Linked DNA regions of Oryctolagus cuniculus. The protein of the gene in region 1 purifies or fractionates together with the protein of each later gene. This does not show direct contact. Links are inferred from orthologs where the notes say so. Each region holds a gene or a part of one and is shown in the gene's direction. Other genes may lie near its edges. The genes, in order: ENO1, TPI1 and PARK7.

Region 1 (2,347 bases):
CTACTGTGCTTGACGGTTGCCCCAGCTTTCCCTGCTTCCCAGGGCCCAGGGCCTCCTTAACAAACTCCCGTCTCTGCCATGGTGCCCTCTGCTTGCCCGATAGTCACGTAGATCCCGCATCCACTGCAACTAGCCTGACCTTTGTTGTCTCCTTCCAGATCAAGACTGGTGCACCTTGCCGATCTGAGCGCTTGGCCAAGTACAACCAGCTCCTCAGGTATGCAGCGTTCCCGATAACGTAGGGCAGCCACTGGGGGTACTGCCCTCCGCCAGGAACCCCCGGCTCTGGGGTGGGCACAGGTCGGGCTGTGGCGCGCCGAGCCAAGGCCCAGCAGTCAGGTGGACTACAGGGCTCCTGGCAGCAGCTGCCCGAGGTGCCGCTCTGTGCAGTGCCGCCATCTTGTGGTGAGAGAACAGGACTCCTTAGCAGGTCAGCCATAGCCTCACAGCTAGCGGAGGATTTGTTGATTCTCATTGATCCTTTCTTGGGATGAGGGCACCAGGGCTTAGGGAGGTGAGGCAGCCTGCAACGTGCCAGACGTCTGGTTCCCCCTTCCTGGCTGCTCGTGTCCTGGGCAAGCCCCTAGACCCGGAAGACTTGCCCTGTGTTAGTGGCTTTTGTGGACTCGGGGGAAGAACACATCCACTTCATATAAGTTTTACCAGTTTTTAAAGGCTTATTATTTATTTATTTATTTGAAAGGCAGAATTACAGAGAGGGTGAAACAGATCGCCCATCCACTGGTTCACTCCCCAGATGGCCGCACGGGCTGGGGTTGGGCCAGGCAGAAGCCAGCATGCTGGAGCTCCATCCAGGTCTCCCACGTGGGCGGCAGGGGCCCCAGTACTCGGGCCATCTTTCACTGCTTTCCCAAGTGCATTAGGGAGCTGGAGCAGCTGGCAGTGCAGGTTAACCCGCTGCCCCGTTTCCTAAGTTCTTGTGTCCTGTCCCTTCCTCCTGGAAGCTTCCAGACACGCTCAGCAGGGTGACCACAGGAAGTACTCCTTCCCCATCCCCCGGGTATGAGGCTTGCCACGCACTTTATATTTTTGCCGGAACGTTTCAAAACAGATTCTGGGTATTTTGTCATTTTACCTGTAAATGTATTTTGGGGGAGGTCTCGTTTTAACATAGCCGAGATCAGTAGCCGCTCTGCAAGGTCAGAACCAAGTCTGCACTCCGCCCATTGTCTCTGTGCCCTGTTTACTCCCGGCACTGTGTAGAAGCCGGGCGCTCCTGTCATTGCATATTTAAAAGTTGGGCTGTTCACAGTCCAGCAGCCTGGAGGGGCGGGGGCAGCAGAGTGCTGGGCTGTTCCAGCGTCTCAGAAGCTGGACTAATTGGAGGTCCGGGCCTCACCTGTAGGGGGCAGCCTTGTACCACACTGAGATCTGACTTTCTCTTCTCTTCCCTTTCCAGAATTGAAGAGGAGCTGGGCAGCAAGGCCAAGTTTGCTGGCAGGAACTTCAGAAACCCCCTGGCTAAGTAAGCTGTGGCCCAGAGAGCCTGAGCCGTCAGCCCCAGCCGGCTGATGGGATCCTGCCCGACGCTGGTGCCGGCAGCGCCAGGCCCCCGACCAGTGCTCGCTGGGGCCTGCGGTAGTTAGCTCCCCTCTCCTGCCACCGCTTCTTAGAACTTGGGCAGAAGCCAAGCTCGAGCAGCTGGACCCCGTTGGGAACCCAGCTCTAGTACGTCGTGGTTCCTCACCTGCTTCCCGCCAGCCCGGGAGCTGCGTGCTCCTCCCGTCACCTCCGAGGTCCCCACAGGCAGCATCTGTGCAGAATAAAGAGCCTCAGTGACTGTGACGGTGCCGTGTGTGGGCGGGGCTGTGGGCAGGGCAGGAGTGGGTGGGCTTCGGTCATGGCCAGAGCCAACAAGAGGGGTCCAGAGGACTTTCACATAGGGTCTCGGGAAGGGCTGTTGAGGTCAAAGGTGGGAGGACCACTGGTGTCCCTCGGGAAGCGACGTCCTCTGTGAGTCCGAGCTGGGAGACGTCGGGGCAGACATTTGGGACAACATACAGGTGAACAGCCCCTTACAGCTCAGCCTCGGTGTGGGGCTGCTGGTCCCTTGAGCGTGTGGCAAAGTAGACTATGGTGTGTCCCTGCGGAGAGCAAGTCGCAGAAGGGTTAACAAAGGGGAGGTCCCTGCGCCCCTTGCCCTGGCCTGCAGGGCTTGTTTGCTCAGAGCCAGCTTCTAGGGGTTGGGGGGCCCAACCCCTGGAGGGCAGTAGGGGAGGGTCTCCAGGCCTTGGGTGGGTTTCTTCTCTTGAGGTAACCTCAGCCCCGCTCCTAAGACCTGGCTGATTGTGCCAGGCCTCCGGGGTCTCCAGGATGGACACCTTAG
Region 2 (4,394 bases), on another chromosome or scaffold:
GCTTGTCTGTGGTCACACAGCAGCAGGAAAGCTGAGTAGTTGTGTCAGTAACCAGGTGGCTTGCAGCACTCCTCGGCCCTTCACAGGAGGTCTGCTGACCCCCTGCCCCCCAGAAGGGATGGGGGTGGTGGTGAAGATTCGGGGATCTGAGGACACGAAATAGGGGAAGTGGCCCTGCGAGACAGCGCTCCCTCAGACAGCAGACTGGGGATCCGGGCAGACAGTTGCCCAGACCCACCAGGTGAGGGCTGTGTCTGAGACTTAAGTTGATGCCACATGGAATGCCCAGTGTGTTCACCCCTTTCTGTGCCTCCCCTACTCCTCCAGATGGGTGATCTACAACGACCAGAAAGTGTGTGCCTCCGAGAAGCCGCCTAAGGACCTGGGCTACATCTACTTCTACCAGAGAGTGGCCAGCTAAGAGCCCGCCCGCACCCCTTACGCTGAGGGCGGGGACTGGCCACCTGGCATGAGGGACAGGGGCTGCGGGATGGACTTGCGCCCCCCTGCTCTGTACCCTTTTTCTTTTTGTCCCCAGCAGCTGGAAGAAAGCTGGAGGCCACAGGAGCATGGCCAAGCCGAGAGGAGGGGCACTCTAGACTCGGGGGATAGAGCAGGGAGGGGACAGGAGGGGGCTGCCCGCCTGTCTGTCAGAGTCTTTGTTGCTTCCCGGCCCTTGAATCCAGTGCTCTGCTTCTCTGTGTCACCCTGCCCAGGCCCCTGGTGTGGAGGGGAGGGTCTTGTGTGTGTGCGTGCGTGTGAGTGTCCGTGCGTGAGAGTGTGGGTGGGTGGGTGTGGGTGTAGCTTGTGCATCCCTTCCAGGGGGTGGGGGCCTGTGACTCCCCTCCCCCTTTGTGTTTGCCCCTGTGCGGTTGGGCAAGGAGGGATATGAGGGACATGGGGACCCCCCCTTGCCCTCCTGCCTCAGTCCTCCATCCTGTCTTTTCCCTGTCCTTCTGTGGAAAATGCCAAAATACACGATGTGAATAAAAGTACAGTGGCTAAACTGTGGCCGGTCTGATAGCTGGGGGAGCTCGTCGCCGCGTGCCCTTCCGTGTGCTGCACAGACAGCTCTGCTTTTCTCTAGTCGCAGAGCTCTGGGGAAATGGAGAATGGGCAAGTGCAGAGCCAAGGGGAGAGGAGGGTGAAGAGCCCTTCTGGCAGCCACGTAGAAGGGGGTCCAAGCAGCCCCCAAATGCCCCCAGGGCCCAGCGGGTTCTCAGCTTGGGGCCTCAGCCCCTGGCTGGCCTTGGCCAGCTAGAACCAAGAGGGGGCCGGGGGGCCCCTGCGGGTGGGGGCTACTGCAGCTTCGAAACCACCTCTTGGCGGCGTGGGCTTCCCCCCCCCCCCCCCGCCTCCGCAGCCCTCCTGGGGCGCCTGTGACGAGCTGGATGGAGCTGCTCTGATGGGGCCAGAGGGTTCTCTGTCCCAGAGCTGGAGATGCACCCTCAGCGCTTTTCTCAGCCCCACTGAGCAATGTGGTCTGAGCGAGGCCAAGTTGGAGCCGCCGCTGGGCCTCTGGGCGGCTGAGGTCGTCAGTGGGTCCCCCCGGTCGCAGGAGTTCTCCGTTCCGCTTTCTCCCGAAGTCGGGCAATCTCTGCAGAAGCGCCTGAACAAGCCCCCGGACGCCCCCAGAATGTTGCTAGGAGAAGGGGAGACGACGTCAGAGCCCTGCGCCAGCAGGCGGGCTGGAGGGCGGGCTGAGAGGCAGGGGCGGGTCCGCCATGGCGGGGACGGGGCAGGAGGCGGAGTTCCGCTTCTCGGCTTTCTATATAAGCCGGCAGCGGCCGCAGCCGCGGCCGCACGGCGGGACTGACCTTCAGTGTGCAGGCCCGAGCGCCATGGCGCCCTCCAGGAAATTCTTCGTTGGGGGCAACTGGAAGATGAACGGAAGGAAGAAGAACCTGGGGGAGCTCATCACCACCCTGAACGCAGCCAAGGTGCCGGCCGACACCGGTGAGGCCTCGCAGAAAGGGTCGGGCTGGGGGAGTCCGGCATCCGCGTGGACCTGGGTGCAGGGCTGGGGACCAGGGCGGTTGGGTGTCCAGGCCTTGGCCCCCGGCACAGCGGCCCGCCAGCCGCGATGCCAGAAGGGGAGAAGCGGGGCATTTCACAGTGACCGCGGGCTGCGGGGGCCCCAAAGGACTCCTCGGGTCCCTGAGAGAAGATGGCCCCGGGGCGCGGGCTGGGGCTGCACCAGCCAGGCTCAGGGGGGTAGGAACGGAGCTTGAGCCTCTGGGCGATAGGGAGAAGGAAGCTGCAAGCCCCCGCGCGGGGGTCGGGCCTGGGCTTGCGCGGGCCTCCAGCCCCCTGCTCCTGGGCGCCGGCACCGTGCGCCGCTGCACGTAGCCCGAGACTCCTCCCCGCCCCGCCGAGGCCTCTGCGCCCAGCCACTCCGATCCCTTCCCCTCTGCTGCCTGAGCGGCTTCTGCTTTCCAAAGGAGGGCCCGAGCCGTTTGGGAGCGAGGAGCTGGCCTACAGCCTTCCCCAGGCTGGAAGGGGGAAAGCGCAAGGCCGCTGTGAGCTCATCAGCGCCCTGCGGCAGGGGCAGAGCGCGAGCCTCCATCCTTGCCCATTCACCCGCCCGAATCACGGAACCACGGGTCTCATCCAAGAGGCATCCCTTCCTGGTTTCTTCCCCAAAGACCCCAGTGCAAACCCGAGGAGTTGGACCCTTTCCCTTTTGCCAAGAAATCCTTGCCTTGCTGGGCAAAGTAGGGGTGGGCTATTTTAGAAGGGAGGCAGGGCTGGCCCCAGAGAATGCTGAGTCTGGGAGGTGCCCATGCCCAGAATAGCCTGAGGAAATTGGAGCCACAGCTGTTAAAGAGCAGAGGGCAGGGTGAGGGCCGCGGCCCGACGGGGGCATCTGGAAAGCTGCAGGAGTTGGGTGCAGGCCTAGCTGGCTGGGAAGTGGGCAAAGGTCATCTTGCTAGAGTGGAGAGGGAGGGAAGCAGAACCAAGGAGGCCAGGAGTCTGCAGAGGGAAGGCTTCCTCTGATCTGATCCTGTGCCCCCTCTCGTCCTCAGAGGTGGTTTGTGCACCCCCCACTGCCTACATTGACTTTGCCCGGCAGAAACTGGATCCCAAGATTGCTGTGGCTGCACAGAACTGCTACAAAGTGACTAACGGGGCCTTCACTGGGGAGATCAGGTGAGGTGGAGGCAGAGAGGGGGGGAGTCTGGGGACCACTCCCTCACTTTGCTCATTGAGGGCAAAGCCACAGGGTGTGGCTCCCTGCTGACCGGTGGCCTTCTGTCTTCTTTAGCCCTGGCATGATCAAAGACTGTGGAGCCACGTGGGTGGTCCTGGGCCACTCTGAGAGGAGGCATGTCTTTGGGGAATCAGATGAGGTTAGTAGCCAGCAGAAGAGGTAAGAGATGCCTTATCCCAGGAGGAATGAGGAACGCCTCACCACGTCTTTCCTTGACAGCTGATTGGGCAGAAAGTGGCCCACGCCCTGTCAGAGGGCCTTGGTGTGATTGCCTGCATCGGGGAGAAGCTGGATGAAAGGGAGGCTGGCATCACGGAGAAGGTCGTGTTTGAGCAAACCAAGGTCATCGCAGGTACCTCTGGGGAGGGGCCCTCCGAGCCTCGTCCGGGGCCACAGCCACAGAGGGTGGGGTGAGATACCTGGGCCTGACTTGATCCCCATGCTGGCTCAGGAAAGGAAAAGAGATTCCTTGCCAGGGGCCTTAGCATTTCTGCTCCTCCCCCTGAAAGTCTAGGTGCTGCCTGGAGGTCCTCCAGCAGCCACCAGGGAGCAGTAGACCCTCATCACTGTGCATACTCTGGGGCGCTGGGCGGGGTGCTCCCCCTGCCCGCCCTTCCCTCCATCTCTGCTCTCTGTCCTCAGATAACGTAAAGGACTGGAGCAAGGTTGTCCTGGCCTATGAGCCTGTGTGGGCCATCGGAACCGGCAAGACTGCAACACCCCAACAGGTAACCTAGCCCTGGAGCCCTGGCCTCTCCTGTCTCGCATTAGATTCACCCAGGGCAGCCCCTCGTTTGAAAGATGAGGAGAATCGAGTTGCCCAGGGTCTCCGTCGCAGGGCCTCCCTAGCACTGAAGGCCTGGGACCCTGACTCAGATCCCAGGGCTCCTGCCTGGAAACCACATGAACTGTCTCCACTCTGCTAGGGATGTTTTTCCTTAGAGCAAGAGGCATTGGAAATGGAATGGGTGTTACCTAGTCTGGCTTCTTGTTCCAGGCCCAGGAAGTCCATGAGAAGCTCCGAGGGTGGCTCAAGTCCAACGTCTCTGACGCTGTGGCTCAGAGTACCCGCATCATCTACGGAGGTGAGCGGGGCCGGCTCCAGCCTTGGGTGGAGTGGGCTCAGGCCTAGACTGATCCCTGCTTAGACATGCAGATCCCAACCAAGCTCTCTGCTCCCCTC
Region 3 (3,645 bases), about 770 kb from region 1:
AAAGAGTGGGTGTTTGGTGCCGTAGTTAAGATGTTGCACACCTGCGTCCCGTGTCAGAGTGCCTGGCTTGAGCCCCACCCCCACTTTCAGTCCAGCTTCCTGCTTATTGTGCCCTGGGAGGCGGCAGCAGGTGGTGGCTCAAGTACTTGGGTCCTTGCCACCATGTGGGAGACCTGGATTGAGTTTCCGACCCCTAGACATTTGAACCAGTGGATTGGTGGCCTCTCTCTCTCTCTCTCTCGATCTCAAATGAAAAGAAATCATAAAGTTCTAAATGGCAATAGTAACCTTGTAAGATTATTAGAAGGAGTTATTAATGGGACGGTCCTATAATGTATTGCCCAACTGGAATGCTTGTAGGAGAAAGGGTGTTCAGCCAGACATGGTGCTAGGACAGCAGCTGTAAATTGGGACTGTCAGGGAATGGGGATAGACCTAGTTATTAAATACGTTTAGCTAACATATTAGCTCAAATTCAGTGTGGTTGGCTTGTAGTATTTCCTGTCAAGTTATTTTAAAATGTAGGGCAGCTGTGAAAATGTCATTCTAAATGTGTCGGTGTTCTTAAATATCGTGATGACTTCTTTCTCGTAGATTAAGGTCACTGTTGCCGGTCTGGCTGGGAAGGACCCTGTACAGTGTAGCCGTGACGTTGTCATTTGTCCTGATGCCAGTCTGGAAGATGCAAAAAAAGAGGTTTGTTCTCCATTTGTGGAATGATTCATCTGACTTTGTTACTAGTTTCCTGAAATGTCTTGTGAATACGTCTAAGACTTGGTAGCACAGACGTACTTTAGAAACTTACTTTGCTTGAATGTCTTTCCCAGTAACTGTACTGGGAGGGCAGGGGCTTCACCTTTCCACTCCGTCGTTGTGGAACTCCTTGATGCCACGGTGCTTGGCGTGTTGGGGGCGGGGGCGGGGGGGATGCCTTGCTGAGGCACCGGAGGAAGCGTTTTCCTTACACAGGCATCCTTCCTCCTCTTCTGGTTTTTGGAAAGGCAGAGTGACAGAAGGAGAGACAGAGAGGCAGATCTTCTATCTGCCAGTCCACTACCCAAATGGCTGCAACAGCTGGGGCTGAAGCCGGAACTCCATGCCCGTCTCCTATATGAGCGGCAGGGGCCCAGGGACCTGAGCCGCCATCCATTGCCTTCCCAGGTGAATTAGCAGGAAGCTGGATTGGAAGGAGAGCAGCCTGGACTTGAACCAGCATCGATATGGGATGCTAGCGTTGCAGGCATGGCTTAGCCTGCTGTGCCCCGATGCCAGCACCCTATTCTAACTTTTTAATGCACTAAATCCTCTCTCTGCTCCCCTTTGTTAAGCGACCTTTTACTTTTTTCTCTATAGTGACACAGATGGCCTGTGATTCATTTCACGTGGAGCAGCTCAGACTTGATTAGTGTTGGGATTAAGGAAGAAGTAAAGAGATCTGCTTAACCTGTGTCACTTTTTCAGTATCTAGAATTATGGTTCGTAACTTGCAAGGGCGATGGAGCTGGTTTCCCTGCCCAGTTCGGGGGACAGGAGGTGGGCTGTGCCCTCCTGGAGCAGCTGCATGGAGGGAGGGAGGCGGGGCCTGCTTCCATGCGGAGCTGGCCTCAGGTAGTCCATCGCCAGGTTTCAAGAGTTAGAATACTGGTCCTCACAGCTGGGTTGTTGAGTAGAAGTAGCTTTGTTCCTCAGTGTTCTTGTATCCTGTCGTGCCGGGTATTCCCATCAGCAGGTATCTTTCGTAGGTATTTATTGTTCATTCCAGATTCCAGAAAAATTCTATACGTCACATATTTTATTTTTGGGTTTTGTTTGGTTTTAAAACTACAGTAAGATGCTTACGATCTTAGTTCTAAAAAGTGTGTGTTGTACTGAGTGTATACTAAGTTCTCATTTGTAGTTTGTTTAATGACTAACAATTTTCTTAAAACTTTGAGCATCGTCAAGTGTTGTTCAAGCAGTTTCCATTTTGTGTCTCCAGGGCTTGACATTAATGAGCTCTCTAGGTGTTTTAGTGTCGGAGATACTAAAATATCGCATCATTTTTCTCCTCAAGTTCCATTTTTCATAAAGTTAAAAATATTTTTCCATGCCTTTTAAATTTTCTCTTGTGCACATGCGTGTTGAAGACAGTTCACACGGTAGAGTCCGAGTGTCAGGTGTCCCCGTCTCGTCCTGCCCGTCTCCCTCCACCCAGCCCACAGAACATCCCTTTGTGAGTGCCTGTGTGCACACATGAGCAGGTGTGTCACGTCCATACACACGTACACATATAGTACATGCTCATATGCATGCACAAAGACTTCATGTTTTATTTCATGTTTTATCCGTGTTTTGTGTATGAGCACCTGTGTGCACATGCGAGCGGGTGGATCATGTTCATACACATGTACACATAGATTACATGTGTTTGTGTCTTATCTGAGTCCCTGTGTGCACACACATGAGACCTGACCATACATGTGGGTTACCTGTGTTTTTGTGTTTGATTGCAAGTGACACTGTCCGCACCTGTCGCTCTGCAGCGTGGCCACGCTTACGTGTTCCGGCCATGAGGAGCCTGTGTCCTCTGCTGACGACAGCGGTGTCGGGGCCACCGTTATCTCACTGTGGTCCCACTGACAGGTGTACCTACACAGGTTCCTGCCTGTATTTTGCTCGAGTCCCACGTGTAAAATGTGAAAGCGTGGTTAGATTGTCACCGTGTTTTTTCTCCTTTTTGAACTGTTTCAGGGCCCGTATGATGTGGTCGTCCTGCCGGGAGGTAACCTGGGTGCACAGAATTTGTCTGAGGTAAAAGCAGCAGGGCGGGGCCTGGGGACACAGGCGGGAAGACTGAGGAAGTGTGCACTCTGTTGGTTACATTGTAGCTCAGCTATTTCAGGGAGGGGCTGTGGATAAAATGGAGACCACCCAGAGGAACATGCGTGTTCTAGCCTTACTGCAGACGGCATTTCTAGTCATACTTGCCGTGGAAGTGCACTGAACTGGTGGAGTGATTGTTCACGAACAGGTTCTGTGAATGCAGCCCCCAGTGAGATGCCTGTTTCCCGCGCCAGCAGCAGAGTCACTGGGCTTTGTGTTGGCGAAGGGTCCAGCCTGGACTGCCGTGCGGCCGCCCGCGACCCTGGGGTTTGCAGGGAGCCGTGAGGGCTGGCACCGCTACTGTCGGGGGCTCAGCCTGCCCAGCAGACGGGAGAGCAGTGTTCCCGCTGGCCTTGACTGCTCCGCCATCTGGAAGCGCCCCAGACCCCACATTGCCTCCTCCTGCCCACTCTCACCCTGGGAAACAGGAAGGCAAGGGGCAAACCAACAAAGTCGCTCTTTCCTTCCTGTGTTTGAAGGTGGAGGGATAAGGTTCCCTTAGGACAAACCCTCTGTCGGGCCAGGGGTCCAGACACACCGTGCATGTGGTCACTGTTAGGTTAGTGATGGACCAGTGGTCCTAGGATGGTAGATCGCTGGTCTCGTGAGCTAAGCTCAACTGAGGTTCTGCCGCCGCAGTGTCCAAGCAAGGGATTGGTGTAACGGCCCCATGGCAGCCTGACGTGTTTCGGTTTCTTTGACAGTCTGCGGCCGTGAAGGAGATCCTGAAGGAACAAGAAAAGAGGAAGGGCCTCATAGCGGCCATCTGCGCAGGTACCGTGC

Evidence for each region.
Region 2: the proteins of ENO1 (region 1) and TPI1 fractionate together in Homo sapiens (co-fractionation; 4 studies listed by BioGRID, with this or other methods). This does not show direct contact. The link is inferred for Oryctolagus cuniculus from reciprocal best matches to the Homo sapiens genes ENO1 and TPI1.
Region 3: the proteins of ENO1 (region 1) and PARK7 fractionate together in Homo sapiens (co-fractionation; 3 studies listed by BioGRID). This does not show direct contact. The link is inferred for Oryctolagus cuniculus from reciprocal best matches to the Homo sapiens genes ENO1 and PARK7.

The regions. Positions count from the first base shown.
Region 1 is NC_091438.1:159,001,157-159,003,503, forward strand, and holds the end of ENO1 (alpha-enolase), read left to right. Parts: intron 1-158; coding exon 159-217; intron 218-1,420; coding exon 1,421-1,490; 3' UTR 1,491-1,801; downstream 1,802-2,347. UniProt on the Homo sapiens protein: Glycolytic enzyme the catalyzes the conversion of 2-phosphoglycerate to phosphoenolpyruvate. In addition to glycolysis, involved in various processes such as growth control, hypoxia tolerance and allergic responses.
Region 2 is NC_091440.1:102,652,196-102,656,589, reverse strand, and holds the start of TPI1 (triosephosphate isomerase), read left to right. Parts: upstream 1-1,462; 5' UTR 1,463-1,724; coding exon 1,725-1,956; intron 1,957-3,026; coding exon 3,027-3,150; intron 3,151-3,265; coding exon 3,266-3,350; intron 3,351-3,430; coding exon 3,431-3,563; intron 3,564-3,853; coding exon 3,854-3,939; intron 3,940-4,208; coding exon 4,209-4,296; intron 4,297-4,394. Other genes in the region: USP5 (ubiquitin carboxyl-terminal hydrolase 5), read left to right, coding at 328-421. UniProt on the Homo sapiens protein: Triosephosphate isomerase is an extremely efficient metabolic enzyme that catalyzes the interconversion between dihydroxyacetone phosphate (DHAP) and D-glyceraldehyde-3-phosphate (G3P) in glycolysis and gluconeogenesis.
Region 3 is NC_091438.1:159,767,645-159,771,289, reverse strand, and holds part of PARK7 (Parkinson disease protein 7), read left to right. Parts: intron 1-594; coding exon 595-696; intron 697-2,730; coding exon 2,731-2,790; intron 2,791-3,566; coding exon 3,567-3,636; intron 3,637-3,645. UniProt on the Homo sapiens protein: Multifunctional protein with controversial molecular function which plays an important role in cell protection against oxidative stress and cell death acting as oxidative stress sensor and redox-sensitive chaperone and protease.